Linked DNA regions of Arabidopsis thaliana. The protein of the gene in region 2 interacts with the protein of the main gene of each other region in a biochemical or structural test. Each region holds a gene or a part of one and is shown on either strand. Other genes may lie near its edges. The genes, in order: PIN1, TOPP4, INH3 and PRSL1.

Region 1 (9,504 bases), on a different chromosome or scaffold from region 2:
TGTAAATGGGCTAAAGAAATGTAAGACCCTGGAGTCTGGACTAATCATATGATTCAAACATTTTTTAAAAAGCTTATATTAGTTACAAATAACGACGAAGGTAACAGCAACAGCATCACATAAATAGGGCCGCCCTGATCACAGCCCAGTGAAACAATTGCTGTGGCCTCAAAAAACATTCTGAAATTATACTAGCCAAAATGGTCCAAAATTAATTATTTTTTATTTTTTTAGCCCAAATTTTCTAAAGCTTCATTTAAAAGTCTTTGGCCCAAAATTATTCAGAGTCGACCCTGCACATAAACTAGTTTGTTGTTACGTTAGGATATAGGAATGTGTAGTGTATGTGTGTAGGCGTGCACATGGGAGCAAGGATTGTTCCTCGAATTCAAAGCCGCATTTGTATTTATTTGTTAGTTTATAAAAAGATTCTAATTCACTATAGTTTTAGAAGACAGATAAGATAACTCTATTTTAGTAAATCCTTAGGGTTTTAGTAAGTCGGAGTATGTTTTCACGTGCAACAAACGACCAATGTTTTAAACGCGACAAAAGGAATTACCGTCACTCAAACATATGATATAAAAATAGTTTATGGGATTGTGGTGATAATGTATACGTGTAAAGCCGGTCTTCAAATCTTAAAATATATATTTTTAATGGTTGAATCCTTTTATCTTCGATGAAAAAAACGTTACTTTTTTTTCATTATGTATACGTCTTTTCAGTTTAATATTCAAATTTGTTGTTGACCTATTTGGTCACGACAGAGGAAAATATTGGCCGTATTTTTAGAAATGAAAAAAATAATCGATGGAGCAGTGTAATGACAAATCATGTGTCGACTTCCAATATCTTATTAAATAATTAGGTGAAGATAAAGCCGTAAATAATGATACTATAAATTAGTTTTTCCAATATATTGTATAGTATTGTATATCGCAAAAAAAAGCAAAGCAATTATGTTTTTATTGGTCGTCATATCGTATCTAATTACCCGTACAAAAGAAAAGGAAAATCTTCTTTTTTTCTCACAATCTCTTCGGGCGAAAAAAAATGTAACAAAAGCAAAATACAATCACATTTTGAAAAAAAAAAAACAGAATCAATAGTAAAATAAATAAATAATACCCAAAAATAAAATGAAAAAGACAAATGACAAAAAGCTCTCAATACTCTGTCTGGGCGACGGCCGACCCAACACCGTCTAGTGGCAGGCAGAGACACTAACATCTGCAACTATGACCTTACGAAATTACGTTTATACCCTTATACTTTTTTACGTCATCCTTTGCATTTAATTTTTTTTTAAAATTTCACTAAAAATCTTAAGTAAATACGAAATCTTTTCCGTGACGAGATTAACTTCTTTATGAGTCCGACAAAAAAAAAACTTCTTTATGAGAAAACCTCGATCCTTTCAAATATCTCATGTAATATCAAAATCTCATGGGTCCAAAATTAAAGGCTTTAGACTAAATGATAGTTATATCATATGCATGGTTTATCAAATTTCTGAAATATTAGATTTTCACGTATATTTTTCAATAAATGGTGAAGACCATTGATTGAGAGCAGAGAATGAACACAGAATTAGAAGCTTCTGAGAAATGTTGGTGTTGTAGTAGGAAAGCGAAGTGACACGGCGTCTTCTTCTTCTCTCTTGTCTCATTCTTCTTTTTATTCCTCACCCATTACTTTTGTTTTTTTTTATTTTATGAATTTGAACAATGTGAATTGCAGGCTTAAATATTTACAAATCGAGCTATAATAATAGTTTTATTAATTGGAAACATTGAAAATTTGAAGAATGCAACGGCGGCTACAGCCGTCTCATGCAGAATAAAATGATGGTTTTTTTTTACGTGAGGGTGAGGCGTGCCATAAATTTAGGGTCGCTTTCTTTAACTATTTTCCTCATTCTAATTATTACGCCTTCATATATTTATTACTATCAATTTTATTTTTATTTTTGTTTTGTATACAGTCATTTCACTTTCTAATAAATTCATTTGGTAACTAAAATAAATAAAAATTCATCATTCCACATATTTAAATCAAGCCAATATTTTTAGCAATTAAATGATTTTCATGTCGAGAGTACAATTCAAACCAAGTTAAGTATTATACATTTGATTTATCATTATATAAGATCGTCGTATAAATATGAAGGTTTGTTTTTATTCATAAAAAGCATCAGCATCTAAGTGGTATGTAATGATTCTGAGAAGAATCGGTAAAAGGATACACAATTGACAACACTAAACGAATCTTTCAAGATTCCACAAACGCAGTGAAGAGGAATCTTGACCAAGTCGAATAACGTAACGCATGCACCAAGTCCCCTATCTTCTACATATTTAATCGAGTGTTCTGTTGAATCCAATACTCGTGTCGTCTGTGTTGTTATAGTCACATGCTATTTCATACCTTCCCACCTAAGCTATTGTAAAGTTTCTAATATTCATGACTACGTTTTAAATTTTCCCAAATCCCCCGTAGAAATCCCTTTCTCAAACATTTTGTGGAAGATGTACTTTACTGTTTTAGTTTCTGATTTTTCACATTTAGGCAAACGAAACATAGAAATGTTAAGTGAACTTAACTTTTGAAATGGCTAAAACACTTCTTATTTTGGTGAGATTTAGACCTATACACACCAATTCACTTTTAGCATGCACACAAAATTTGATATTTTCCTTAACGTTTTTAATTCACTAAAAGTAGCCAAAGCTTTTACAAATTCCTAAAACCTACCAAAAGAGGAAACACGAATGTTCATTAAAATTAAGAAAAAGGTAAAACTTGCTGAGCTCCTACTTAAGTCTCCTTCTTCTTCTCTTCTTCAAGAGCTTCAATTATCCTCAAAGATTCTCTAAAGCTGCTTCTGATTTAATTTGTGGGTTTTCAACAAAAAGGGCATTGTTCTTTTCACAATTCATCATCCCACAAAAGAATAAAACAAAGTCCCTGTGTTTTGGTAATATCTCTTCATAGACCCAAGAGAATGTAGTAGAGAAGAGTTATGGGCAACGCGATCAACATCCCAAATATCACCCTGCAACAAAAATCAGAACTCACGTTAACAAAAATATATTTATATATACACCTAATCATAATTAATGTAGGCAAAACCAACCTAACTTTTTTTCTACAACAAAATTTATTGTTATAACAACAAAACTATTTAATAGATTAATAAACTTACGCAGTGCTAAGAATGTCAGGATGCACATTATACTCTTTGGCAAACACAAACGGTACTATTCCTTGCGGCAAAGCTGCCTGTTTGTTGTCAATAAAAATAATGGTTAGAAATCGTATAAACGACAGTAGACACAACAGAAGTGTTTCATATTTGATCATGCAAATAAAAACTACCTGGATAATGGCAACATGGAGGAGGACGCCACGGAGGCCAACGGCATAAGAAGCAACGAGCATGACGGCAGGTCCAACGACAAATCTCATAGCCGCCGCAAAAGCTGCTCTTCTGTTTCCACAAGCTATTATTCTTGGGTTTAACGCCATGAACAACCCTTTAACACATCCAAAAAAAGCCACAAATTTAAACAAATAATTTATTATTGTTTTGCTTTTTGGTTAATTTAAGTTTATACACTGTTTTTAGCTGCAAAAGAGTGACATAAAAATAATCATCACAGCCACTGATCCACCACCACAACATTAACATCATCATTATCGTTATCCTAAACTATTCATTCCATAAAGTCATGATTAAGCACAAATTTTATAATCAGTTGATGGAAGTCTACTGAAACATAAACAAGGTAAAAAAGAAAGTTTTTTCATCGATAAGGGGGTCAATATTAGGTATAAAAAAATTGTTTGTTGCTTTAAGAGAAAATAAAAAATGGTTCCTCCTATTCAAGGGAGAGACATGTTATGATGATAAGCAGAGAACTGTGGAGCATGCTTTCTGCTGTGAAGCCAGTTTTGTTTGCTTTTTTGATACAAACATGTTTCAAAAAAACTTCAAAGAAAAAGAAAACAGAGAGAATCATGCTTCCACATGATTTGTTTTTTTTCTTAAAATCATTTAAAATTTAAAAAACACCATAAAGAATGAAGGTCAGAAATAAAGAGAACAATTGACTGTTTTATGGTATTTAATTATGTAATAAATGAAAAGAGGTAAAAATAAAAGAAAAGAGAAAAAGGAACTGACCAAGACTGAACATAGCCATGCCTAGACCTGCATCTGAGAGTATGGAGATAGACTTTGCTATAAGAGCTGGCATTTCAATGTTCCACCTGCACAGACCACATCAATTTAATTCCAATAAAGAGATCTTTCTCAAATCTTTTGTTACTTCAATCTATCAGAAAAAACTTTCAAACATATACGCATTCAAGGCTGACCCTTTATGCATCAAGAAAGTGGTTAAAATAGTAGACCAAAACCAAAGTAAAGTGAAAATAAGACAAGTTTGAAACAGTACTTGAAGGAAATGAGGGACCAGGTGATGCCGAATAAACTGGAGTAAGAGTTGGGATTACGAATAAGTTTCCTCCAAACCATAATGAGAATGAGTCTTGTCATCACACTTGTTGGTGGCATCACCTTAGCCTGCGTCGTTTTGTTGCTTATGTTGTTCCCACCGTCCGTTGCCAATACTTTGCTATCATCGTCTTTGTTACCGAAACTAAACTCTTCCCTCTCCACGTACTGGTTGTCTAAAGTAAGGCAACAACACATGTAAACAATTAAAGAACCCCTTAACCAAATCATAAATATCGAAGGACATAGAGAAATTTTGGGGGTGTTTTTGTAAAGAAAATAAATTAGGGTGCGAAAACAAAACAACAAAGTTATAGAGGGACTATACCGTTACTATTCCCCTGAGGTACAGAGATCTTAACGTCCTTTTGATGATCGTTCGTAGCGGTGGAGTAATCGGCGTGGTGGTTTCCTCCTCCACCGCCGAACACATCTGAGACCGGCGAAGCACTTGAGCTCCACACAAACATGTGAAGATCTCTTCCGTTTCCGTCTTGTCTTTTCCCACCAACCACCGGAGCGTTTCCTTTCGCCGCCGTGCCTCCACCACCGCCAGTGTTGGGCGAAAACATCCCTGGGTTCGGCGCCGGATAATGCGCTCCTCCACCGCCACCACTTCCTCCAGATTGATAATGAAACCTCCCAGCTCCAGCAGCAGTTCCAGCAGCCGTCGGTTTAGCAGGACCACCGTCTTCTTCGTAGTTGGAAGGTCTCGGAGTAGGACCTTTAGAACCAAACACAGCTTCTCCAGGACCAAAGTTAGAGTTCCGACCACCACCAGAAGCCATCATCGAGTAAAAATCAGTATGATTAAAACTAGAGCCACGTGGCGTTGGGTTTCTTGAACTCTGAAGCGAATATATCTCAGCGTTGGTTAGATTCGAAGGTCTAGGTGTCGCAGATAAGCCTTGAGACCTTCTCGAGTAAATATCAGACCTTGAAGCATTAGAACGACGAACAGTAACATGAAGCTTCCCATCTTCTTTAATCTCAGCTTCAGTTTCCAAAGGTTGTCTTCCATCTAAAGACATAATGTCGGAATCAACATGAATCGAAACAATAGATCCTGCTGTGTCTGGAAACTGCTCGGAGATCAAAAGCTTAGCTCCACGGTACTCAAAGAGAAAGAGCATGAGTGTGTACCAAATGATACACTGAAGAACAACGATTTGAACCATGAGGTCGCCGGAGAAATTACCATACATGCCTTTGAGAAGAGGTATCCCCATGACTAGAGTGTTGGGGAGTGTCGAGAGAGAGAAGAGAGTTATGGTCCAATCTAAAGAACCGTTGCGGCTGAGTTTGCACCAGAGGAAGAGGAGAGAGAGGACAATGACTTTCTGGAGAGAATCTGCGGCGAGGAAACGGAGGTTCATGGCGTAAGGGTTGTTAGCGGCGATGAAGTGGAAAGAGAGGAGAGGAACGGCGAAGAGAGCGACGAAACGGTTTATGCCGGAGCATTGGTCTGGTGTGAAGATTTTCCACCATTTGACAGAGCCGTAAGCGAGGATCATAGCTACGTATAACGGAACCATAGCCGTCATAACGTGGTAGAAGTCCGCCGCCGTAATCATCTTTTGTTCGCCGGAGAAGAGAGAGGGAAGAGAGAAGAGCTTTTGTCTTTAGTTTGAGAGAGAAGTGGTGAAGAGGGAAAAAAGAGTAAAGTGAGTGTTGAGAAGAGACCACATTTTTATATTCTTTTTATTTTATTTTTTTGTCCGTTGAGAAAATACCATATTTTTTAATTAAACATATATATATTTTGTTAATGAAGCTAAAACTGTTTGCTGATTTTATTATTTTCGTTTTCGATTATTTGGTTAGTTTCTAGATATTATATTCAAAAGTAGTTTACGTGTAGGAGTAAAAAAACATTAAATGTAAAATTGGAATAGCTCAACATATTTATTTGTTTTGTTAAACATTCCAACATAATAGTGTGTGTGATGTAATTTTGATTGAAATACGACAAAAAGAAGTTTTTTTGAATGTAATAAAAACGAAATAAAAATGGTGGTTGATGGGTGCGTGGTGGAGCTTTGGGGATAGTGAAAGAGGCGGCCTTGTGCGCTTTGCGGAGTCCAAAGCAGAGCCTCTGTTTTTGCCTCTCTCTTTTTTTTTTGGCCTTTTCAAATTATGAATTAATCTATTCGGTTGATCAATTTATCCCCTATACTAATTATTAAATTTATATTTTTACCATGTTTAAAAATTGTTAAATTTATTTTTGCTATAAATTATTGTGATTAGTATGATGGGATTTTTGGTATTGACTTTCAATTGATAAATCACAACAGAAGATAAATACACATTGAAGTGATGATATAAGGCTCGATTTGATGTTTATATGAACTTAGAAAATTTTGGTTTTAAAGATAGAAGTCTTCTCCGAAGAGAGGTTGAAAGTCTTTGGAAAAATGGTTGCAATTGAACAAACTAGTTCCTAACCAAAGACTTTGTGGGTGGAGATAAAAGAAAAGATGTGATATCACTAACATAAGGTCGAAATCACTTTTTCATGTGAGATGGGTGTGTGTGAGTTATCATTGCATAGGTTATCATTTACAGTTGTAGTTGCGCATACGAATTATTTATGAACTATTCAATCCTTTGATCGCTCATCTTGGAACTTATTTTCTTTTACTGTTTACTGTATAACATTACTAACAAAGTTTTATAAAATATATTTCGTTGAGAAAATTAGTAACAAAGTTTTATTGAACATAAATACGTAGAAGTTTTTTGAAAGAAAAATGTTGAAAAGAGGGTGGTTCTGGTTTGCTTACACAAATCAGTCTGATGTGTTCTTTAATACTACTAATAAAGTCCGTACAAAAAGCAATGGGTTGATGATATAATGAGGAGTGTTGATATTTGAGGAAACACAATATTCCATCAACAGTCTGCTCTTCATTTTTCTCATCATCCCATACAAACACAGTTCTTCTTTTTTTTTTCTTTCCAGCTTTTTATTTTTCCAATGTTTTCAACTTTTTTTTAAGCATAATAATAATATATAGTACTAATATAATTCGACTTTCCTTGCCATTTCTTGCGCTTAAAGAGACTATACACACAAAAAAAGTAGGTTATGCAATCCGAATAAAGTAAATATGTTGAGAAGTTACGAAAAAATAAAAGAGTTGATGACTTAACATCATTTTTCTATTAAAAATTATAAATCAAGTAGTTTCTATTTTTTTTTACTGACAAATAATTTTAAAATTGGTTCTTTGAAAGAATTGAATTTTTAACACGGCAAAAAAAAAAAAAAAATTGCAGGATTTTTTCACATTCCATATAGTTAATGATATTTTGGATCTTTCAAATTATTTGTCACTAATCCATTAATCTTTCAATCTTTTGTTGTGCAAATCCTTGTTACAACTGCGACTTTGTGTAATATTGAACTCAAATTAACGTTTTTTCTAATACTCTATGTTTGCACGGCTTGACTTATGGTTATGGGTGATGGATGACCTTTTAGCAAATACTTGAAACGAGAAAATTAAAATTGATCTTTTAGCAAACACTTGAAACGGGAAAAATGGAAAAGAGAGTAAGATAGTTTGGTTTAATAAAGCAAATTTTGACTAATTAACACTTTATGATCTATATTGACCTGCTTTAATATACATAAAGTGAGTCTTATGGCTGATACTAAAAGTCGACAAACTAATCTCAATAAATACGTTAATCAATGGGAATGATAAGTGGATACATGTTTTGCATCAAATTATGCTTTCTTTTGGGTTTTCTTCAAAATTTATATAGACCGAAATATCACTAGTTAACAAAATCGCTCGAACTCATAATTCTTTTTTAATAAGAAGTATAAACTAACTATGTGGTTTTGAAATGAAACTTTGGCGACAACGCCAATGGAATAATTTACAAATTTGACTAATCTTTTTATTGGCTAAAAGATAAATAAAAAGATTACTATAATGAATTTTTTTAAAGTTTATCAACAGAAGATTAATGGTTGCCGAGTTTAAGAAAATATTTGATATTGATTCTCGTTAGTCGTTACTGGTTAATGGTCGAAATGTAGATGATCATTGGACTGTCTACGGTGGAAGCCTCCCATTGTATTTTTTATATCTTTGCTTGGCTTCTCTATTCGGTTTAACATTCATGAGAAAGAAAATTATTGTACTTGATTATTTTTCAAAACCTAAATAAGACTTGAATAACAATATATAGCGAGATGTCCAGCTAGCCGTTGTATTTGAAAAGTAGGTTATTCACTTTATACATCTTCCTCACGCCTTAAAAATTACAAAAGATGTTGTTTTTATGCATAGCCATTTGCCACAATTGTATAGTTTAATTATTCAAACTATTATGAGTCTCATAGTCATTGGGTGACTAATTGTTGTAGAATCAATTAGAAATAGACGGTTGAATAAAAAACTCAAATGGATAAATTATGAATCAGAAAAGAAAACTTCATAGTTTGGTTATCAATCAGAACTCATAAGTACCGTATACAACTGCATGAAATTAAAAGAAATCAACTTAATGATTAATTTAATTAAAAGTTAGTACAATGTAAGCATAGCTTTTCACGCAACCCGAAAATAATGCATGTTGAAGGTCCATGCGTTTGTGCTTAAACACGCTTCGCTAAAGCATGCCTTGTAATTGTAATCAAAACAAATAATCCCACTAATGAACGGATGATGACTAATGAAGATTCATGTTTGGTACGAAATGTTTTAAGCCCTTTTGAACAAATACAACAGATGATGGACACACACACACAAATCGACGACATAAAACTTGATTTGGAGGATATCCGGAAAAATAGGCTATTCACATATCATCCGACTCAGCCTTAATGATTATGTTGTTTTTATGAATGGGTTTACTCTATTTAATTTGTCTTTAACTTATTTTTAATACGATGTTGAAGTGAAATAATCAACAAATAGTTATAAACGTGAAGAAAACAATAAAGGAGTAGAAGAAAGAACAGA
Region 2 (8,144 bases):
CAAGATATTATCTTCTCGACAAACTGAATCCTCTCTACCATTTTTTCTTATTACTCTCCAACATGTTTTATAAACGGCGATCTTCGCGTTGGGAACACCGCCTCTCATCGTGCCTTCCGCTAACCCAAAGTACCCCGCCTTCTCTACTTTCCTGCCAGCAACAATGGAGGCTACGTGTGTGCCGTGTCCCGTCACGTCAATCACCGATTTCTCTTCAACCCACTTGTACTTTTCTTTTTTCGGGTAGTATGATCTAGCCCCAACGATCTTGCTGCAATTGTAGTTTATGATAGCAAGATTAATTCTCATACTTAATTCCAACTTTCAAGATTCCTAACCATGTCATCTTGAAAAGAGAAAATCATACATATTTTTGTTTTATCATAAGTAAAGGTTTATTATAGTACTTGTTGCAAGTTATGTTTTCGCATTTGTTTTCCCAACCAGGAGGGGGAGGGCTATCGCTACCGAAGAGCTCAGAGTAGGGCCAAATGCCGGAATCGATGACAGCCACAACCAAATCACTCTCATTCTCGGGATTTCGCTCAGCTTTTAATGTTAGATTCATGAAGTCCCATGATCTTGTCGTTTGAAGCTTTAGGTTTCTGCTACGTGAAACTTCCAATACTTCTCTTCTCCCTATATCAACATTAACATAACCCGTGTGTTATTACCACGTCCCTACTATGCATTGATATCAATCTATATAGCAGTAGGCTATAATTCTACATTTTTTGGCTTTTACGTCATTGCGTGTTATAGTATTGTACTGATCAATTGTATAAAAAAAAGGAAATGCAAACGTGACGAAACAGTTGTGGTCTTACTCATCAGCTTTTGCCGTTCTCTTGGTGTGAGACTTGCCGAGAAACCGGTGAAGCTCTCCTTATAGCTGTAGATAAATGCATCCGCTAAGGTGCTGCATGTGTTAACATAGAGGATTGGCTTCTTGGGAAATTTGAACCAATATATCTCATCAAAACCTATATGACTTAAAGAATAAGGCATAATTAAAATCAAACCTATCGTCGTCAAGAACTTCGCCTAGTAGTTCCTGGTGACCGGAACTTGACCCATATCGATGTCCACCAACTTTCATCTGCACAAGGTATGTCTGTACCATAGAAAGCAAGAAGTTATATGTTAAAATTCAAACATTCGTCGTTATATGTATCTCCAAAAAAACGTTACGCTATTAGTTAAAGAAGAAAGGTCCATTTTTTCTCACCTTTCGCGAGTCGTTTGCTTCCGCAAAAGAAGCAAAGAAGAAGAGTAGCAGTTGAAGAAGAAAGGTATGAAAAGCTATAGCCATCCCTCACTCACTCACCAGAACAATCTTTCTAATTCTTTTTTTTTTTTTTTTATAAGGTCTAATTCTAATTCTTTTTCTTTAAGGCTTTTTTTTACTGTCAACTTTCTTTTAAAATTTATTTGACTCTAATATTCTTAAGTTTTGTTGCATTGCATGTTAATGCTTTATGTCTCTATTTATAGAGAAATTTCATGAAGGATATTGGGAGCGAAAAAGGACTAATGAAGAAGAAAATTGGAGGAGAAGATTGAAATCGAAACATTTCATAGTGCAGACGCTCATCAATCAATTTAAAGAATCTTATTCTTCGATTATGAAGCTGCATGCTTTTTTTGGTGATTCTTGAGAAAGTCCATGATTTTTTTTTTTTCTATGTTACGATAAAACATGAGTATACGGTATTGATTCGAGTGAAAATCAAGAAAACTTGAGGGTCTACGTTGACGCACATATATATGTATGCTTGGTTTGATGAAACTTATAACGTCCACATGGTCCACACTCGCGCACAATGTGGTCAGATAATAACACTAAACCTGTACATTCATGTTTCAATTGTTTGTTTGTGTTTATTACGTTCGTGTATATTTTCTTACTTTTCCAAATGAACCACAAGTTTTAAGATTTTTTTTTTGCTAAACTTACACGCTGAAAACAATGGTCGTATACGACGAACGCTTGTGTATTCAATTTACAAAAATATGAAAATTAGAAATAATTATATTTCAAAATTGATTTTTTTGTTTGTTTGAGTTTTGAGAATAGTATGAAATGGTCATAATCTATGTAGGAACTAGGAAGTCTAGAAGAATATGACATGGTCACAATACTATGTAGGAAATGTTTGAGGATACTATGATCAAAGGATACGTTTTGTCCAACATCTTCTGGTGAGGAAATGGACTAAGAATATGAACATATTCAAAGATAGGATAATGACATGATATGTGTCTAAAGAATTGGATACATGTGGTTTTGGTTCCCGTTTGCAACCCAAAAAAAAAGTTACTTTTACGAACTTATCGCTTCCGTGTTTACTTCTCATCCACAACAAAGAACAACATAAAATTTCAGTCCCTCCAATTATTATATTCTATTCTATTTCCCGAGTCCACCAAACGGATCATATATCACTTCACTCACGATCATACCAAAACCAGTGGACTTTACTTTCAATAGCTTCTCAAATTCTTCTTTTACTTAAACATGATGAACATGTGTGAAACTTGTTGTCCAATTTAGATGCTCATTCGATATTTATGATGGTTAATTGAAGATGTTCATATGCGTTACTTATGTCTCATTCACTTTCACATGCCGCTTAAGAGACGAAACTCATCATACTAAACCTTTTTTATAACATCATTTTCATTTGGTGTCCTAAAATCCAAGAAACGACCATATGCATGTACACACCAACTATGTGATCCCAACAGGCAGATGAAAATCATGTAAAACCCATAAAAGAAGATAGAAAAAAAATGCTGAAAGTGAATTTGGGGGAAGAAAGAGATTAGAAGACTAAGAAGGTCTTGCTCCTTTCCAAGAGTTCTCACTACCATAAGTACACACTTCACAGCCAAATCTTCAATGGTTTCAATCAATTTCTCAAGAAAGACCAAATCCATCTGTGAAAGAAGGAAAAGCCGAAATCAAGACCCATTTAAGTAAAAAGTTTAGCCTGGAAGAATCCAAAAGAAATCATGTTCAACAGAAATGTGAACTTGACTTTGTAATGAATAACATGAACAAATCAGTGCAAGAGAATCCTTTCATTCACTAGTTTCGTTTTGGTTTCCGCCAAGGACAGACTATTGACTAACCTCAATGAAAGTATCAAATCTTTGTGGACATCATGAACTTGGTCTTCTTCTCAGCGGGCTTCAAAATCTGAAACGAGCACATAAGGTTCTCGTCCACGCTCATCATCGCACCAGCATTATCAAATTCACCACAGTAGTTAGGAGCTGAAAACACCGTCACAAGTTGTCTATCAGCAAAGAACTCATACCCATCCTCCACGACCTGCCATAAAAAATCCAACTCCCTTGTTAACATCACAAAAGCAGTAGTATCAAAGAGACATGATTGAAAAATATCTACCTGATGGGCACGACACACAAGATCTAAATCATGTTTCGTAAGAAACTCGGAAACTTTATCTGGACCAAAGGTGTATGAAACACCTCTATCATTCATTCCCCATCCTTTAACATCTTTCCCAGGATCAGACCAGAGCAAATCACAGAGAAGCCCGGTATCCGGAATCATAGTTGGTCTCGGCAAGTTTCTAATCTCATCCAAATGGTCAAGATCCGGCGAAAGTCCACCGTGCATACACAATATTTTGTCATCTATAAGCGCCGCAACAGGAAGGCAGTTAAAACAATCAGTAAAAACCTTCCATACTCTCACATTGAACCTCCTTTTACACTCATCATAAAATCCATATATCCTATTGATAGAAGCACATTCGTGGTTTCCCCTTAGTAGAAAAAAGTTGCCAGGGTATTTGATCTTGTAAGCTAGTAAGAGACATATTGTTTCAAGACTCTGTTTGCCTCTGTCCACATAGTCCCCAAGAAATAGATAATTGGCACTAGGAGGGAAGCCACCATACTCAAATAGCCTCAACAAATCACTATATTGCCCATGTATGTCACCTGGTTTAAGACATGTACACCACAAACCATAAGGAAATCACAGAACGGGATAGGATTTTTCATGAACACACACAGTATCATAAGCAACAAGATAAGCCTCTCCACTCAATCATTATCCACAAAAAGCCAAAACATTTCTCACTCAGATTCTAGTCACTTCACAACATCAAACAAAAAGGTCTCACAATGGTCTAACAACTTTATCCCCAAAACCTAACCAAGTTCACACTTTTGGAAAATCTAAGAAACACAATAAGAACCCTAAAATCAATTCCGACGAAATTATTAAAATCAACGAATCAAATTGGGAAGATACCACAGATTTTGATGGGAGCCTCAAGCTCAAGTAAATTGGGTTGCTGAAGGAAAATATCTCTAGCTGTAGTACAGAGCTGTTTGATCTCAGCTTCAGAGAGCTGGACTTGCTTTCCTGGTCTAGCTAACCGGACCTCCGTGAGTCGCCTGATTATATCATCGAGAACCGCCGAGTCAATCGCCGTTTGCTGCCCCTGCGTCGTCGTCGTCGTCGCCATCAACAGAATCCCAAAAAAAAACCTAATTTTTTCGACCCCAAAAAAGAAAAGAGCTAATGCAAAATAATCAGTGAGAACAAAATAAAGAAGAAAATTACGCGCAAAGACTTTCGAGATTTTTTTTAGTTCGAATTGATTTTTTCAATGAGTATTAATTAAAGTATCAGAAACGGAGATGGGGACGAAATTAACACCTTTGAAAATTGAAATAAAAGAAACTGAGAAAATAACTGACAAGTTAAAGAAGAAAAGATGAGGGATACAGGACGACGTCGTTTAGTGAAATTCCAAAACGGGCTTTAGCTTAATCGGTAATGGGCCGTTTATGAGATCTAACAAGTTGTTTAGTAGGTTCGTGTTACTTTTGTGTACTAATCAACCTAACAAGTAATTCAAAGAATAAATGTGGTAACTTCAATCAATCATTTGGGATTATTAACAATGTTTCGTACCTATTTTTTTCTTCTTATAGTTGTGTGAATAATGATGTGTTTAGTATATTTATAAGAACACGAAGGATGCAAAATGTATCATTTACCAGAATTTTTTCATCCTTTTTGTAAGGAAAAACTATAGTTATGTAATTCTACATAGAAAATGAATTGGTACGGTTAGAGATGTTGTTGTGGGTAAAAAAGCCCAGCCCGACCTGAATCCAAAATAAATCCGTCCACCAAAAACCCAACTTTAAAAAACCCAGATGGATTTTTGATTTAGTGGGTAAAGCCCGAAAAAACCTGATTGTTCCGAGACTACCTGTGGGTACCCAACTTGATTTTTATTATTTTCTTATAATTTATGTTTAATTGTTAATATACTATTATATGTATGTTGTATCTATATTTTGCTTATAAATATATTTTAAATTATATTTATTTTTTGTATTACATATATATTTGATGGGAAAAATGTTAAATTGCGTTTTTGGCGGGAAAATGTTAAATTGCGTTTTTTGACGGAAAAATGTTAAATTGCGTTTTTGGCGGGAAAAATGTCAAATCCTTTTCTTGGCCGGAAATGTTGAATGTCGTTTTTGGCGGAAAAATGTTAAATTGCGTTTTTGGCGGAAAAATGTTGAATATCATTTTTGGCGGGAAAATGTTAAATTGTGTTTTTGACCGAAAAATGTGAAATCTTTTTGGCGGAAAATGTTGAATGTCGTTTTTGGCGGGAAAATGTTAAATTGCGTTTTTGGCGGGAAAATGTGAAATCATTTTTGGCGGAAAAATGTTGAATCGCGTTTTTGGCGGGAAAATGATGAATTGCGTTTTGGCGGAAAATGTTGAATGTCGTTTTTGGCACGAAAATGTTGAATTGCGTTTTGGCGGGAAAATGTTGATTGTCGTTTTTGGCGGGAAAATTTTGAATGTCTTTTTTGGCGGGAAAATGTTGATTTTTTTTTTGGTGGTAAACTGTTAAATCGCGGTTTAGGAGAAAAAAATGTGAAATCTTTTTTGACAAAAAAATGTTGATTCACTTGAAAAATGATTTTAAAAAAAATCGTGGGTACCCATAACCCAATGAGGTAAACCCATATGTGTTTTATTTATTTGGATACCCAGCCCATTTTAAACCTGTGTTTTATTTCCAGAAAAAATAGATCTATGAGCTTAAAATTTTATGTGTGTTTTGGGTACCAGTGGATTTTAACCCATCATTAACATCTCTAGGTACGGTACTCTAGTGGTGGCCTACATTGGTTGATAAAGTCATAAAGTCAATATCGTTTAAACATGCAAATGCAAATTTTATGGACCGGATTAAGTCGGAATGATCCGTATGTTGAGGCTTGAAAGAGCCCATCAATGCAATGGAAAATAGTCGTCTCTTTTCTTTTCCTTTCTTTTCTTTACGATCATAAAGTTCTCTTTTTTTTTGGGTGAATATTGTAAAGGTTTTGAGTCATTCTTTCCAACTCAATTCCACGTTTCTCATCTCTCAAGGCTTTTTACTACAAAAATCTTTACAGATACAAAGTTAGAGATTTATAACAACTTGGATAAGATGTCTCATGCATGAGATAAGAGAAAGTAAATTCTTGTATTTTAGGTGATTAAAGGAATAAAGACATATGCAGCATTTTTGCATCGGCTACTCAAACTCAGCTAAATTCTTCGCTATATATATATACTTTATTTTGTTACAATAATTGTATCAGACTAATACAACTTGATCCATGTGTAGGAAAGTTTCAATAAGATTGATCGTTTTTATGTTACCAAAAATAAAAAAAGATTGATCGTTTAAAAAGTCATTCTTAACAAGAAATAAATACTTGTTGAACTAGAAGTCTAGAACAAATACATTTGTTCAGACATTTTAAATTGTAAGATTAATTACATTCACAAAAAAAATTGTAAGATTAACTGAGGAATATAATGATGTAATAGGAAACTAACGCAAATGCTTAAAATGTTTTAACATTTTCATGATGAAAAATAAGTAAACATCTTTGGGGGTATAGATACTTAAGATAAAATATATAACTTGACAAGAAAAAAGAAAAGATAAGCATTTTCTTTAAATGAGAATTCCCAAAAACAAGCAGCCTTAATAGAAAATAAGTTATGGATCGTCCATACAGAGATCGACTTTAGCAAGTTGATAAAGAAATGGTCAGATCTCAAGGTGGAAACTGTTGCTGAAAAAAGCTAGATTTGATCTGATGCTGTCTTTAACCCAAAATATTAATTTGATCCCAAAAAAAAGGTAATTTAATCGAAAGAAAGAACTTAAACATGACAATAGGTTAGGCTTTTGTTCTGTAAAAATTGGGTGTCTGATTCCACTTTGAAGCCTCTCTTTCACCTTTGCTGCGTCATCACCGGTCACGACCTTCCTATAGATTGATGCCTCAAATTATAAATAACAATATTATTATTGGTCCGTCGTTTGTAATGTCATAAAAGCTTAATTCCCATTATAAAGTTGTCTGTGGTAACGTTGCAAAAGCGCATCTTTATCGTGTATTAGAGTATGACCTTTGTTAATACGCCCATATTATGTATAGTGCAAACATTGTTATACTACTTCTCATGGATTCATGAGTCGGATATTTGAAACCCAAAAACAATTACAAGAATCATACAAATTTTGAAACTAAAGTTTTAGTTAAAAAATAAAATGACATATCTTCAATGTAGCTATAGATTCATTAAAAACTCGGTGAGGGTATGAGACCATAAAAACAAAAACAAGGAAAATTTAACAAAACCAAAGTTTAAAGGCAAATAGTTAGAGCCGATGGAACGAGCGTCTCCATCAAAACCCAAAAAGAAGAATTTTTTTTTGCTTTCGTTTACAAATCTAACTTTTTGGTTTTTCTCCCCAACAAAAAAAAAAAAAATAAAGTGTAAAAAGAGAGAAGCTTAAAAGGTTTCAACTATCTTCCTCCTCCCCACACCGTTGCTTGAAGGATTCTTCCGCCTCAGCAAAAACCAAAAAGACAAAAATATTCTCTTAAAAAAACATCTCTTTCTCTCTGTTCCTTTCCTTTCAGAAGCTAAGCATCTCTTCCTTTTCTTTTTCTCTTTTAATTTTTTTTTGCCCGATCTCTTCTGCAAAGATTCTCTCTTTCTTTCTTCTCTTTTCATTTATGTTTTCATTCTCTAATAACAAATTGTAATGACTTATAAC
Region 3 (6,965 bases), 3.3 Mb from region 2:
CATTTGTTGAGCAAGAACCTTTTCTTGTTGCTTCATATTACAACCAGGATCATCTTGAGGGAACCTTCTCGAAGCTTCTTCTCTAAGTAGAACCACTTGTGCTTGTAAACTAACAACCTTAAGAACAAAGTCAGTGAAGTTACTTGTAAGTACACTAGAGATGATGAAGCAAAAGCAAAAAAAAATTATGTATACATTTCCGAAGAAAAAGTATAATACCTGTTGTTGGAGGGAGAAGATTTGGGAGACGCAGCCGTAAATAGGATCATGGAGACGAGAGTGAGCCTCGTAAGAGATGGTTCGTACGGCGTCACATCGGTCATGATCAGGGAGATGAGAAATGAGCTTAGAGAAGTTGCTAGCTCCAAACACTTTGTGAATGGCTGCAAAATTAGAAGATCCTTCTTCGTAGCAAAAGTATGGTGCAAATACACAACCCTCTACACATTTCCTACGCAAGAACTTGCATCCTCCACATGGTGAGCCTAAACCTCCCATTCTCAAAACGTAATTATAATCTATTGATATTAACCAACTATTACTATCTTGTAGGAATATTAATACTTCATTACTTATACTCTTCTAGTGACGATTATATAGTGCACGAGTGTTTATGGTAAAGGACTAAGGTGGGATTTATGATAACTCAACTTGTTATTTTACATATTTGTCTCTCTAATGGCTTACAATTACAAGATTGCAGCTTTTATATTTTCCCTCAAGTTTATATTGTAAAACATCTCTCTAATATTCAATAACTCGTTGTAATATATTATTGAGATTAAACTCTTAAGGTGGAGAATATTCTTAAGAAAATATTGAGAGAACCATATTAATATTAAGATCCGATCAAATGAGAGATTTGGTTGACGTATAGGACAAAACAATGAGTAAACATGAACCAAACCCAAGTTGCTTTTTGTTGTGGTTTTAGCTTTTTTTTAATTCATAACTAATTTACTCTCTTATTTTATTTAGAAAAATAAATTAGAGTTTACTTTTAGTGTTTGTTTAGTTGAAAATTTACATGTACTTGTGAAATTATGTTAAGATTGTTGTCATTATTGCTTAATTTGGAAAACAATAGTTTAAGATTTAACAATGCTCAACATATACACCACATAAGTGATTGAGATGTGTGTAGAATAAGAACAAAGGCATTTGATATTAGTAGTATATGAGACAAGTTATTTCTATATCTCGATTTAAATATTTTAAAATGCTCTCAGTTTCGATCAAACTTTACAGACTAGAAAAATAGAGAGACCCATGATTATCCAGCCCACATATTAATCATGAATCATGATTAACATCAAAAATATTCCAAAATAATTGATCAAGTACAAAAGTTAAATTATTCGATAATAATGAACAACTGATAGTGGATTTATGACTTAATGTTGGTTTAGTGGAGATTAAAAATAGTAAGAAAAATTTGAGTTTGAAGCTTTATTTTTGTTTTCTTATCTATGTTAAGGATTTCGGGTGTCTTTAGATATCCTAACTTGTGCCTAGAGTTTGCGGAAAAGACGGAGTTTTGGTCAAAGAAGGACCGGGGAACAAAGAAATAACAGAACCAGTACGGCCATGGGATCGGTCTCACCAATGACTGATCTAGGACTCCTCAAACAACCCTCATAAGCCACATTGGCCGTGCCCATCAGTCAAATGCAGATCCAATATCCCTGGAGCCAACTAAATAACCCGCATCGATCAACCATCATGGTCATAGAGCCACCGATCTAGCCAACCAAACCATCCGACCAGTAGCTACATCGTTCTGCCATATCGGTCATATTTTTTTATCGATCCTAATCACAACCCATCTGATCCAGAAGCTGCATTGATCCCAACATCGGCCAATGAAACCCAAACATTATACTTACCCTTTGCAAATCCTATTCTACTGGGAAAATAATATAGTGCTCATCTTTTAATTGATGAAACCCGAACATTGCATTTTGAGAAATAGTATGCAGTCGCAAAAGCAAAAGCAAAAGCATATTCAAATGTAGAAAGAAAATATAACATCCTTGTAATTCTTTAACTAATTAGCAATCTTCAATGATTCACATCATTTTCAACAGAGTATGAAGGAGTTAACATTGCAATGAATCTGCAAATTACTTGTACATATACATAACGCCCAACCAGGGTTAGATAGGAGAAGAGACCAAAACAACAAATGTGTGTTCTTCCATGATCTATTAAAAAGCTTCAATATATAGTAACGTGAAAAAACCTGATTGATTAGTCAACGGCTTTAGAATCATTAGAAGAAGATGCCTCACCAGATTCGGAGTGTTCATGGTTATGATCACAGTGATGGTTGTTATCATCTTCTTCTTCACTGTCATCCTCATCAAAAGGCTTCTGTTTATGAAAGATGCAACACTTCTTCGAACTCTTCTTCTGCATAAACTCATTGTCTACAGTCCCATCTTTCCATGAAACTTTCTTCTTCTTCCGGTTCAACCGAAGCACTAATCTTTCAGTAGGTTGTGATTGAGAAACAGGGTTTTCTAATATGACAGAAGTTGTTGCTGAAGAGGAAGGCCTTGTTGCTGTGCTCATAGCTGAAGATTAGCTTTCAAAATCTGCATAAAAGACTAATTTCATAAGGTACCAAAATACAAGAACAGAGAATAAAAGTTCTTAATAGTAACAACTAACAACATGCTTAAGAATGACAAGAGCTAAAGATAAAAACTAAGACCTTAAACAAAATCGTAAAACAGAACAAAGCCTTTAGGGTTCATTCTTTAGGTAAACAAACCAAACAGATGCTATTTCTCTAACCCTAAATTCATTGCCTACGAGATCTGAACCCTAATCATTCCTAATTCCAGGGGATAAACACAAATCGGTGATATGAAATTGAGAATCAAATGTTGCAGTAAACAATAGAGAGACCTAGTTTCGATCGTAGAAACAATAGCGAAACCTAAACCTAGGGGAAAAAAAGATTCAAAGAATCAAATCGACGAAGAAGCAAACCTGTGAATCCCCAAGGAGGAAGGGACGCTTGTTGAATCGAGAAACTTTTTTTTTTTTTCGTTTTGTTTTTTTTTTCTTTCGCCGATGGAGAAATTTAGTCGCTCCAACCAAAAAAAAAAAAAAAAAAAAAATTCGGTCTAATTTTATATTTATTTTCTAAGAAATGTTAATATATATATTAGAAAAAAGACTAATACAGTGTAATTAATTTTGAGAAAACTATAATGTTAACTTATTTGGGATTCGAAAACTGAATATATAGAATGACTTTATAAGTTACTCATACTCATAGTGAGGTTTAGTTCAGATTTTTACATGGATGGATTTGATTAAATCCAATTATGTATATTTAAGTATTTAACTAATGCAGAATTTAGATCTTATTTTTTTTTTTGCTTATTATTATGCTGGGCCGCCCCTAAGACAGGGCCAAGGAAAATAGAAAATGATCTGGTCATAAAAAATTGGGCTATAAGAGTAAAATAAAACACACAAACAAAAACATCCGTCTCTTTCACTTACACTTTCACTTCACGTTTGCGACTGTGTCGTCGTCAAGCTCCGGATCTCATCGGCGTTTCATCATAATTATCTGTCCATCTATTCACCGTACGACTCCGTTTTAGAAATCTGTAGATGTCAATTTGAGAGAAAAGACTGTCTTCATTACAACACATTTGGGACAACAAGGATCACTCATGGCAGTGGTGGATGTTCATCGTTTCGCTGAGTCAATCACTTGCCATGCTTGGAGTCCTGATCTCTCCAGTATGTTTCTAACACCTCTCTGATTTTGTGATTCTCTTCTTTCTCTCTTCCGTCGTTTTTCTGTTTTTAGAATTATAAATGAGGAGGATCTTTAGTTAGTTTTTCTGAATTGACTTGTGTTATTCTTATACATCTTGGTAATCAAGTTTCTTCTAAATCCCTATAATTGAGAATTTTCGAGTCAATGTTTTATATGTCTGTTTGTCGGTGTCTCTTGTTAGGAGCACTTGGTATCTAGTATTGTACATTAGTAGATGCGCTTTTCTAAACAGATGAACCAAATCTATTGTTACAAATGATTTAACGTCTGTACTAAAGCCTGTAACCATTTATGTGCTTTGACATTTGTTTCGTTTTTCTTGGTAGTGGTTGCTCTCTGTCCTAACAACACTGAAGTTCATATCTATAAATCATTGTCTCAAGACCACTGGGAGAGGTTACATGTCCTCCAAAAGGTGAAACCTTTCTCTCTCCCTCTCTTTCTGTAACTTTTGAACTTGCACTCCTTTTGCTTTCTCTTCTTGGGAATTCCTTACTTTCGTATATTTATGTATTCTCATTTCACTGATCACTTGTCGCTGATAAGTGTTGTATAGACAGCTTGAATCTCCCTTACAACAACTTCATGATTATTGTTCGTCTTGTTGCAGCATGACCAAATTGTTTCTGGAATAGATTGGAGCTCAAAGTCCAACAAAATCGTCACTGTTTCTCATGACAGGAACTCGTAAGTTGCTACCTTTGATATACTTTGAGAAACTCCAAACCTGTTAATCTTAGTCCTTCACTTTTTTTCGTTCGTTGAACTGAGTTTAGAATGCTTCTTGAAGGTACGTCTGGAGCCTGGAAGGAGCTGAATGGGTACCAACTCTCGTTATTCTTAGACTAAATCGTGCTGCACTTTGTGTCCAATGGAGCCCCAAAGGTAAATGTTTAATTTTTCTGGTTCTTAAGCTTAATTTCCGTAATATATCATGTAATTTTCCTATAATTTCTACAGCTTCTAATCTATGTTCTCATCTTTTTGCTCAATACCCATAGAGAACAAGTTTGCTGTTGGAAGTGGTGCTAAAACTGTTTGTATTTGCTATTATGAGCAAGAGAATAACTGGTATTTTCTTCTTCTGCTCCTAATTCTCATTATTAGTCCTTGATTTTTTCTTTGGCAAGTTTCCTGACTTCTTTGCTACGAATGGTGTTGTTGGTCTATGTAATGATATTATCTTGTCTTATGTACTGGCATGATATTAGCACCAATCATATTTTTTATTATCTTGGCATGCATAACTGTGTATTGTTTAGAGATTTTAGAAAGATACTTTCATGTAAACTTTTAGTATCTGACATTGCTTGGCTTTACTGTTTGCAGGTGGGTCAGTAAGCTAATCCGGAAAAGGCACGAATCTTCAGTCACATCTGTTGCTTGGCATCCTAATAATGTACGTGCAATCAACAGAACCTCTTGTAGTTCATGTAGCCAAAATATTAAGCAGGCTCTCTGTAAAAGCTTTCTCTACCAAAAATATTCTATAAGTTGGCCACCAGATTGAGTATAGAGTACATGATCCCTAAAAATAGAATATCAATCTCCACAAACTAGTTAATCTTCTAAATCATTTTTTCTCGTATGCTTTTTTATGTTGCTGTGCTCTCTGATTGTCTGTTATGCATTAGGTTCTTCTGGCAACGACATCAACAGATGGAAAATGTCGGGTATTTTCAACATTCATCAAAGGAGTTGACACAAAGTATGCTCATTACTTGAACGTCTACTTTTAAGACATTTTTTCAAACATGAGGCCATTTCTTATTTTTCTTTCAATGGGCTGATACAGGGATTCAAAAGCAGGCTCACCAGCGGAAACGAAATTTGGGGAGGTTCGACTAGTTTGGCTGGCTTTCCTTCTTTTAGTAAATATTATAATTCTTGTGCCATATATATGTTCCGTCTACTCTCTCATCTAATGTTAGGGAGTTTTTTTTTCTACTGTGGCTTTGTTGAAACAGCAAATTCTTCAGCTTGATCTCTCATATTCTTGGGCATTTGGTGTTAAATGGTCTCCAAGTGGAAACACCTTAGCATATGTAGGTCAGAAAATCCTTCAGACTTGGGATGTTTTTCCATTGCGCTCTACTGAAATAATACAATGGAACTTCAACTTGGTTGCAGTTTTTACTACCATCTGTCATACTTTGCGTGTTTATGTAATCATGTATAGGTCATAGCTCCATGATTTACTTTGTTGATGATGTTGGCCCTTCTCCTTTAGCCCAAAGCGTTGCATTCCGAGATTTGCCTCTTCGTGATGTGGGTCAGCATCCACCTTTATTTTACTTTTGAGAACCTGGTTTCTCCGGTGTGTTATGTCCTGAATTGATATATTATGGGGAAATTGCTATTTCAGGTCCTGTTTATTTCTGAGAAAATGGTGATAGGGGTTGGATATGACAGCAACCCGATGGTATTTGCTGCAGATGATACTGGAATATGGTGTGTAACTCTCAGAAATATCTGCTTAAAATTCTCTTTCTTAGGGGTTTGCATACTATCAAATTTTCAGTTCTTTTATTCCTCTTAGATCACAGGCCGGATTGTTGGTTCTGAAACGAACCACTACCAATAATTGCTTCGTTTACAAGTTTTTGTATTTGGTCTGTAGGAGCTTCATAAGATACATTGGAGAGAAGAAAGCGGCATCTTCAGGTTCCAGTTACAGTTCGCAGGTACATACCAAATCTTCTTTCTTATATTGCAATATGTCTGGTTTTAGCCTTTTAGTGAAAAAAATATGACTGAACTTTAACTTATCCCTGAGTTGTTCCTCTAAAGATCGTAATCTTTGGGGGTTAGTGTAGTTCCTCTCTTTCTTTTTTTCTTGGATTTACGATACGACTTTCCACTTGCATTATTTTGTTGTGTTGTGTCTGACACATCTGTTCATTATGTTATTTTTCAGTTTTCCGAAGCGTTTGGAAAATTCTACGGTAGTCAATCAAAGTCTACAACAGCCAACGATGCTTCTGATTCACGTGGAGGCGTTCATGATAACAGCATAACGTAATTGTTTCTTTATCTAACTTGGCTTGTACCAAATCATTTGCCAAAAAACTGTCTCTTTAGCTCTTTTACTTGATTATCTGTTAAGAGCTGACGTAGAAGTTTACCTGCAGTTCCATTGTGCCTCTGGGCAAAGGAGGGA
Region 4 (5,444 bases), on a different chromosome or scaffold from region 2:
TAAACCCTAAACCCTAAACCCTTAACCCTTAACCCTAAACCCTTAACCCTTAACCCCTAACCCTTAACCCCTAACCCTTAACCCTTAACCCTTAACCCTTAACCTTTAAACCTAAACCCCTAAATCTCTAAATCCCTATAACCTTATCCCTCACCCTAAACCCTATTTTTCACTCTATCTCTCCTACTGTCTCTCTCTTTCTATGATATCTATCTATGTTTGCACTTTTTCTTCTTGCAAATTCTATTTAAAAGGGAATGAAAGAAGAGTTATGTTTGCTAATCACCTAGTGCGATGGAGATTGTAAGAGTAACAACCAAATCTTGTTTTACAACCATACACTATCATCTCAAAACAGCATTAAATCCTAAAATCCAATTATATTTTTTATTAGCAATAATATGATTAGGAGAAAATTTAGAAAAGAAATGCTATCGGTGTATTAAGACATGGTAACTAATTAAGAATAAGAATCAAATAATTTAGTTTGCAACCAAAATAATGCTATTCTGATCAAGAATCCACCAGTATTATATCACACAGACTGAGGCACCGGCTTGCAATGTATCTTGTAGAGATGTAACAGCGCCTTCGTAGTTTAAGAAACCCATGAACCAAAACTCATGGTCGTCGACCGAGATTACCTGGATGTACTTTTCTGCAGGATTAACTGTGCTTATCGAAGGGTTAACCGATTTAAGCTGATGTAATGGGATTACTACCTGTTTAAGATGATGAAGATATGTATTACTACCTAGTGTTATCATAGTTTGCACAAGAAATTACTCACAGAATCTAACGTTCTTCACTTTATTCCTATTATCTATGAGGTCGCTTTCTACAATAGTTATTTATAGCAAAAATTTCGATTGTCTCAAAATAAAAAGGATTACCTTATAATAGCTCCATTCAGTTTGACCAGAATTTTTGTACGAGAGAGGTATCGCTACAGTAAGCAAGTTTAGCAGTGGATACGTAAAGAACTCCCATGACTGGACCAGCTGATGTTGATAAGTAGCACGCAAATGAATTTTGCAGTTGCTCCTCTGGAACAGTTTCAAAGGTTTGCCTGAAAATTTTCTCATATCCTCCTTCTGCCAGAACCTTTGTACTTTGTGCAATTCTTCCCATTGCAGCACGCAAAGCTCGGAGCAGTTTTCACTAATTATGATGAATATCAAGATTTAATAGTTAGTTACCATAAATAATCCCATCAAATCACAGAATAAACAGAAAAAACAAAAGTTAATATTCGCTTTGAAACTCCATTGCTCAAACCTATAATATCTAACTCATCAAGAAGTGATATACCATGTAGCATGACAATCACCCAAATATCAACAATCTCAGCTCATAGTATATTTTCTCAGGGTTAACGATGCAACAATACAAGATCGGAAACTCACGGTGTTGCCACGTGTTCCCGGCAAGGCTCTCTGCCTTCATTGCAGCTTCTCCAACCCTCCTTCCCCATCTCCCAAGCACACCTTTCACAGATTCCATCGTTTCTGATCCAATTTCAAAGAGATTTTAACGGTTACTTACACATCTCATAGCATAAACCAAAAAGATACTGACACAGTTTTAAACACAGTACCTTTCAACGAGGCATCCGAAGTTTCAGTAGGAGCACGAGCGACGTACGGATTAGATCTCGCGGCAGAAGATGAGGATAAGGCCTTCTCATCCGGTGCGGGAGATTCAGAAACCAATTCGGGATTCCAATGGAGATTTTCTCGATCCGGACGATGTTCGATTCGGTGCTCGATCGCCTTTTGAATCGATTTCGACGTGTAGCGTAGTAGATTCATCAGATAAAGCAATCACAGAACTCGCATCCTCGGCTCCTTTTGCCGCCACTTGATCCACATGTTTCATATCACTACTATGCGGTGGCTTCAAATTCTGATCCTCCGATTTCAGTGTCGTCTTTCGTCAGTTGTTCCATTCTCCGATTGCGCAAGTATCGTATCGTTTTTTTATTGTCGTTGTATTTGGGATGTGGGGTAGAGTTTTTATTTTATTTTATTTTTTTCCGAGAAACGCTGAAGAGAAAAAATAGTAAATGGAGAAGACGAGAGAAAGCAAAAATTAAAAAAAAGATCTCTGATTTTATTTTATTATGTAGATTTTGGGCTATAAAACTTTTTTAAAACAAAAAAGTTATGTTATTATTGGATTCTGAATGTGAAAGAAAAAAAATGGTGGTTGTGAATGTTTTTAGGATGACTTATAGAATTAAAATCATTGGCTAATTTTCTAAAAACTTAGAAAGTAAAGTTATTTTTTAATATCTTATTAAAAAAACTTGAAAAGCAGATCATATTTAAAACATATCAACAATGGCCATTTGAATCATACATATAATTTAAAACGTTACATTTTTTGTTTGTGGGAATCAAAACTCATAATTACAGCAATGGTATTTAATTAGGATGACTTCTCTTTTTTGTTGCTATTAATGTTAATATCACTAAAATGAAGAGTTAAGGTATTACGTAACAAAAAATGCAATCTGCAAAAAAAAAAAAAAAAAAATTATAATATAATATGGCTAAGAGTGTGATTTAACGGATCTAGAGAAGCATTAGATTTCTCCAACTCTTCCTATGACGCCGAAACGGAGATGGTATTGCGTACCTTATGATCGATAGACTTGAAGATGAGCAGAGGAGGGATGGACTGCAGATTATGGAGTACATTGTTCCTCTGTTCAAATATGGTAGACCGGAGCTTGGGCAGCCACCTAGGATGACTTCTCTAGAATCGGTTTTGGTTTTGATTTTAGAATTTCGGTTCAAATTTTGGTTTGGTTTGGTTTTGGTTAAGGATGAAGGTTCTGTTGTAGTACCCAATATTAGTATATGAAAACTTATTCATAATAATATAAATGTCATAATCATTCACAGATTAAGATAAGTTGCTTGTCTGCCTCGTCGTTAACCTTAGTGGGAACCAAGTATGGCGCGTGGTCTTGACTCTTCTCTTTTTCATTTTTTTTTGTTGTTGTTTGGGTTCAAATTGTGATTTATATATTTGAGGTAAGTAAGTTGTTTGGTTTGGTATATAATGTCATTTTCTTAATTTGATGTAAACTCTTTTATTTGCTGCTACAAGATACGGTAAACCAAAAAATGAGGTTATCTACTAGTACTAGTGGTCAACTATTGCAAATTACCAATTTTAACACGACATTATTAACCTTTGTCTAGTATCATTAAAATTATACTTTTGTAATTTTATCAATTAGAAGTTTAGAACTAGGTTTAGTCTCATTGTAGACGATTTCTTCAAGAAAACTTCAATGCAAGATACTTGGTAAAGACTATTAATTCTGATATTCCAAATCAAATAAATAAATAAGCCATGTATATCTCTATGTGCCTGCATGTTTAAAGAGTCTGAAAGATCAAAATAAAATATACATCTTCTTAGCTATATATTAAGAACACATTTTCCTTCATTTATCCACCACCAACAAAAGACAAGAGTTTTCTCAGGTTTCTATCTCTCTCGTCAAACACAACGAAAGACATTGAAACTGAGAGAAATGGCTCTTAAGACATTGCAAGCTCTGATCTTTCTTGGTCTATTTGCCGCCTCATGTCTAGCTCAAGCTCCGGCTCCGGCACCTATCACGTTTCTCCCTCCGGTAGAGTCTCCTTCTCCAGTTGTTACACCAACTGCAGAACCACCGGCTCCCGTTGCTTCACCCCCTATTCCAGCCAACGAACCCACTCCGGTTCCAACAACTCCACCAACCGTCTCACCCCCGACCACGTCGCCCACAACTTCCCCTGTCGCTTCTCCTCCTAAACCATATGCTTTGGCTCCAGGCCCATCAGGTCCAACACCAGCTCCGGCCCCCGCTCCTAGAGCAGACGGGCCGGTAGCTGACTCAGCATTGACTAACAAAGCTTTCCTTGTTAGCACAGTCATTGCCGGAGCCTTGTACGCCGTTTTGGCTTAAAGAGTGCCTTGCGTATTACTCTATCATTCTCTCTCTCTCACTCTCCTTTGTTTTTTCTTATCATGATTTGTTTGAGAGATCTCTCTGTTTTTCCCTAATACATTTCGTCCTCTTTGTTGTTGTTTTCTTTTTGGGATCTTTTTGATATTTGTATAACTTTGATTGGACCATGGGATTAAACCTGAGGGAAGAAGTTCTGATTGTAATTTTCTTCATTATTTTTTTAATTAATAAAGTCTTGTTTAATATAGTTGCATTTACTAGATTTTTGCATCTTGAAGGTTTTAAATGTTAAATTTTACATAACAATGTTAAATTTTACATAACAGTTAAATCTGTATAATAAACCGAACTTTGTAACGATAAACAGACTAAATCAAAATCCAGTTAGTTTTCTCATCGATAAATGACTTAATACATCAACAACACATATAATGGAATAATCATCTACATGTTGATTATTGTCTTTTAAAATTCACAAGACATCTGACCAAAAAAAAAATTATTTAAAAAAAAATCAAAAGAATATAAAAGTCGTCCACTCAACACAACACTCGACCAGAAACCGGAAAATTAAACCGATCAACATTCGAAAATCTACCCGAAGAAAACCGAACAGGATTACTATAACCGATAATTAACCGATCAGTAAACCGAGCCGATTCGTATCCTTTATCCCTCTTCCCAAACCCAACAATCGATTTCTCAATCTGCCCATAATTATCCTCTAAATTACCAATAATACCCTTGACCTCAAGAACCAAACCCCAGAACCCATCAATCCAACCTCTCTTCCAATTCCCATGGCAGATTTCAGACAACCTCTCTTTACAACTCTCGAGCCGCTTCAAAGCACAGACAAGCTCGATCGTATCTCCAAAGCTCAAAGTGTTGGATCGTTCTTTAAACTCGTTGAATCTCGTGTAAAGCTCGTTGATCGAAGACACGTAGTCTTCTCCTACCAACTGAGTGATTTTGTCTGCGAGGGATTTCCCACCGGAGAAGGGTAGATCCGGAATTTTACATGCTTCTTCTAGTAGACCAACGAGAGCATCGATCTCACGAAGCAGATCAGAGTTGGTAAGAGAAGAAACCATTTCTTCGTATTCCTCTTTGTGAATTGTACTCGATGTTGAAGATATGAAAAATCCCATGATTCTTGAAGTTGATAATAGATGCTCAAGATATAAAGCGTACCTACAATAATAATCAAAAAACATATAAAAATCCAAACTTAGTCGAAACTTTTTTTTTTTTTTTTGTGAACTTACCATCGGACCCAAGAAGAAAGCTCCCACATCAAAGGAGATTTCTCATCTCTAAAAGCAGAAAGTTTCAGATAATTCCGACCACCGGAAGCTGGAAATACAGAGAGCTGATCTTGGAGGATGAAACGACCGTGTTTGACGATGTGATGGATAATGATCAAAGACTTGAGAGCTACGCAAGCATCTCCGGTGGTGTGAAGACGTTC

Evidence for each region.
Region 1: of the proteins of TOPP4 (region 2) and PIN1, one has a biochemical effect on the other in vitro, tested with the Arabidopsis thaliana proteins (one study listed by BioGRID).
Region 3: the proteins of TOPP4 (region 2) and INH3 form a complex in vitro, tested with the Arabidopsis thaliana proteins (one study listed by BioGRID).
Region 4: the proteins of TOPP4 (region 2) and PRSL1 form a complex in vitro, tested with the Arabidopsis thaliana proteins (one study listed by BioGRID).

Annotation. Positions count from the first base shown.
Region 1 is NC_003070.9:27,656,364-27,665,867, reverse strand, and holds PIN1 (Auxin efflux carrier family protein), read right to left. Parts: upstream 6,196-9,504; 5' UTR 6,097-6,195; coding exon 4,851-6,096; intron 4,699-4,850; coding exon 4,464-4,698; intron 4,276-4,463; coding exon 4,190-4,275; intron 3,540-4,189; coding exon 3,382-3,539; intron 3,286-3,381; coding exon 3,209-3,285; intron 3,059-3,208; coding exon 2,992-3,058; 3' UTR 2,615-2,991; downstream 1-2,614. UniProt on the Arabidopsis thaliana protein: Acts as a component of the auxin efflux carrier; this activity is enhanced when activated by D6PK-mediated phosphorylation.
Region 2 is NC_003071.7:16,623,794-16,631,937, reverse strand, and holds TOPP4 (type one serine/threonine protein phosphatase 4), read right to left. Parts: upstream 4,723-8,144; 5' UTR 4,509-4,722; coding exon 4,292-4,508; intron 3,976-4,291; coding exon 3,416-3,975; intron 3,338-3,415; coding exon 3,149-3,337; 3' UTR 3,136-3,148; intron 2,941-3,135; 3' UTR 2,526-2,940; downstream 1-2,525. Other genes in the region: AT2G39850 (Subtilisin-like serine endopeptidase family protein), read right to left, coding at 1-271, 408-639, 828-919, 1,023-1,114, 1,229-1,312. UniProt on the Arabidopsis thaliana protein: Serine/threonine-protein phosphatase that possesses phosphatase activity toward para-nitrophenyl phosphate (pNPP) in vitro. Acts as a positive regulator in the gibberellin (GA) signaling pathway to regulate plant growth and development.
Region 3 is NC_003071.7:13,346,518-13,353,482, reverse strand, and holds INH3 (inhibitor-3), read right to left. Parts: upstream 3,115-6,965; 5' UTR 2,998-3,114; intron 2,598-2,997; 5' UTR 2,575-2,597; coding exon 2,251-2,574; 3' UTR 1,993-2,250; downstream 1-1,992. Other genes in the region: LBD14 (LOB domain-containing protein 14), read right to left, coding at 1-117, 220-498; ARPC1B (actin-related protein C1B), read left to right, coding at 3,696-3,765, 4,132-4,220, 4,416-4,492, 4,596-4,690, 4,807-4,876, 5,135-5,204, 5,440-5,513, 5,601-5,643 and 6 more. UniProt on the Arabidopsis thaliana protein: Inhibitor of protein-phosphatase 1 (PP1). Binds to and inhibits PP1 activity. Required for early embryogenesis progression.
Region 4 is NC_003075.7:18,579,611-18,585,054, reverse strand, and holds PRSL1 (GRAM domain family protein), read right to left. Parts: upstream 1,812-5,444; coding exon 1,598-1,811; intron 1,509-1,597; coding exon 1,407-1,508; intron 1,146-1,406; coding exon 976-1,145; intron 723-975; coding exon 531-722; downstream 1-530. Other genes in the region: AGP3 (arabinogalactan protein 3), read left to right, coding at 3,551-3,970; AT4G40080 (ENTH/ANTH/VHS superfamily protein), read right to left, coding at 4,513-5,167, 5,242-5,444.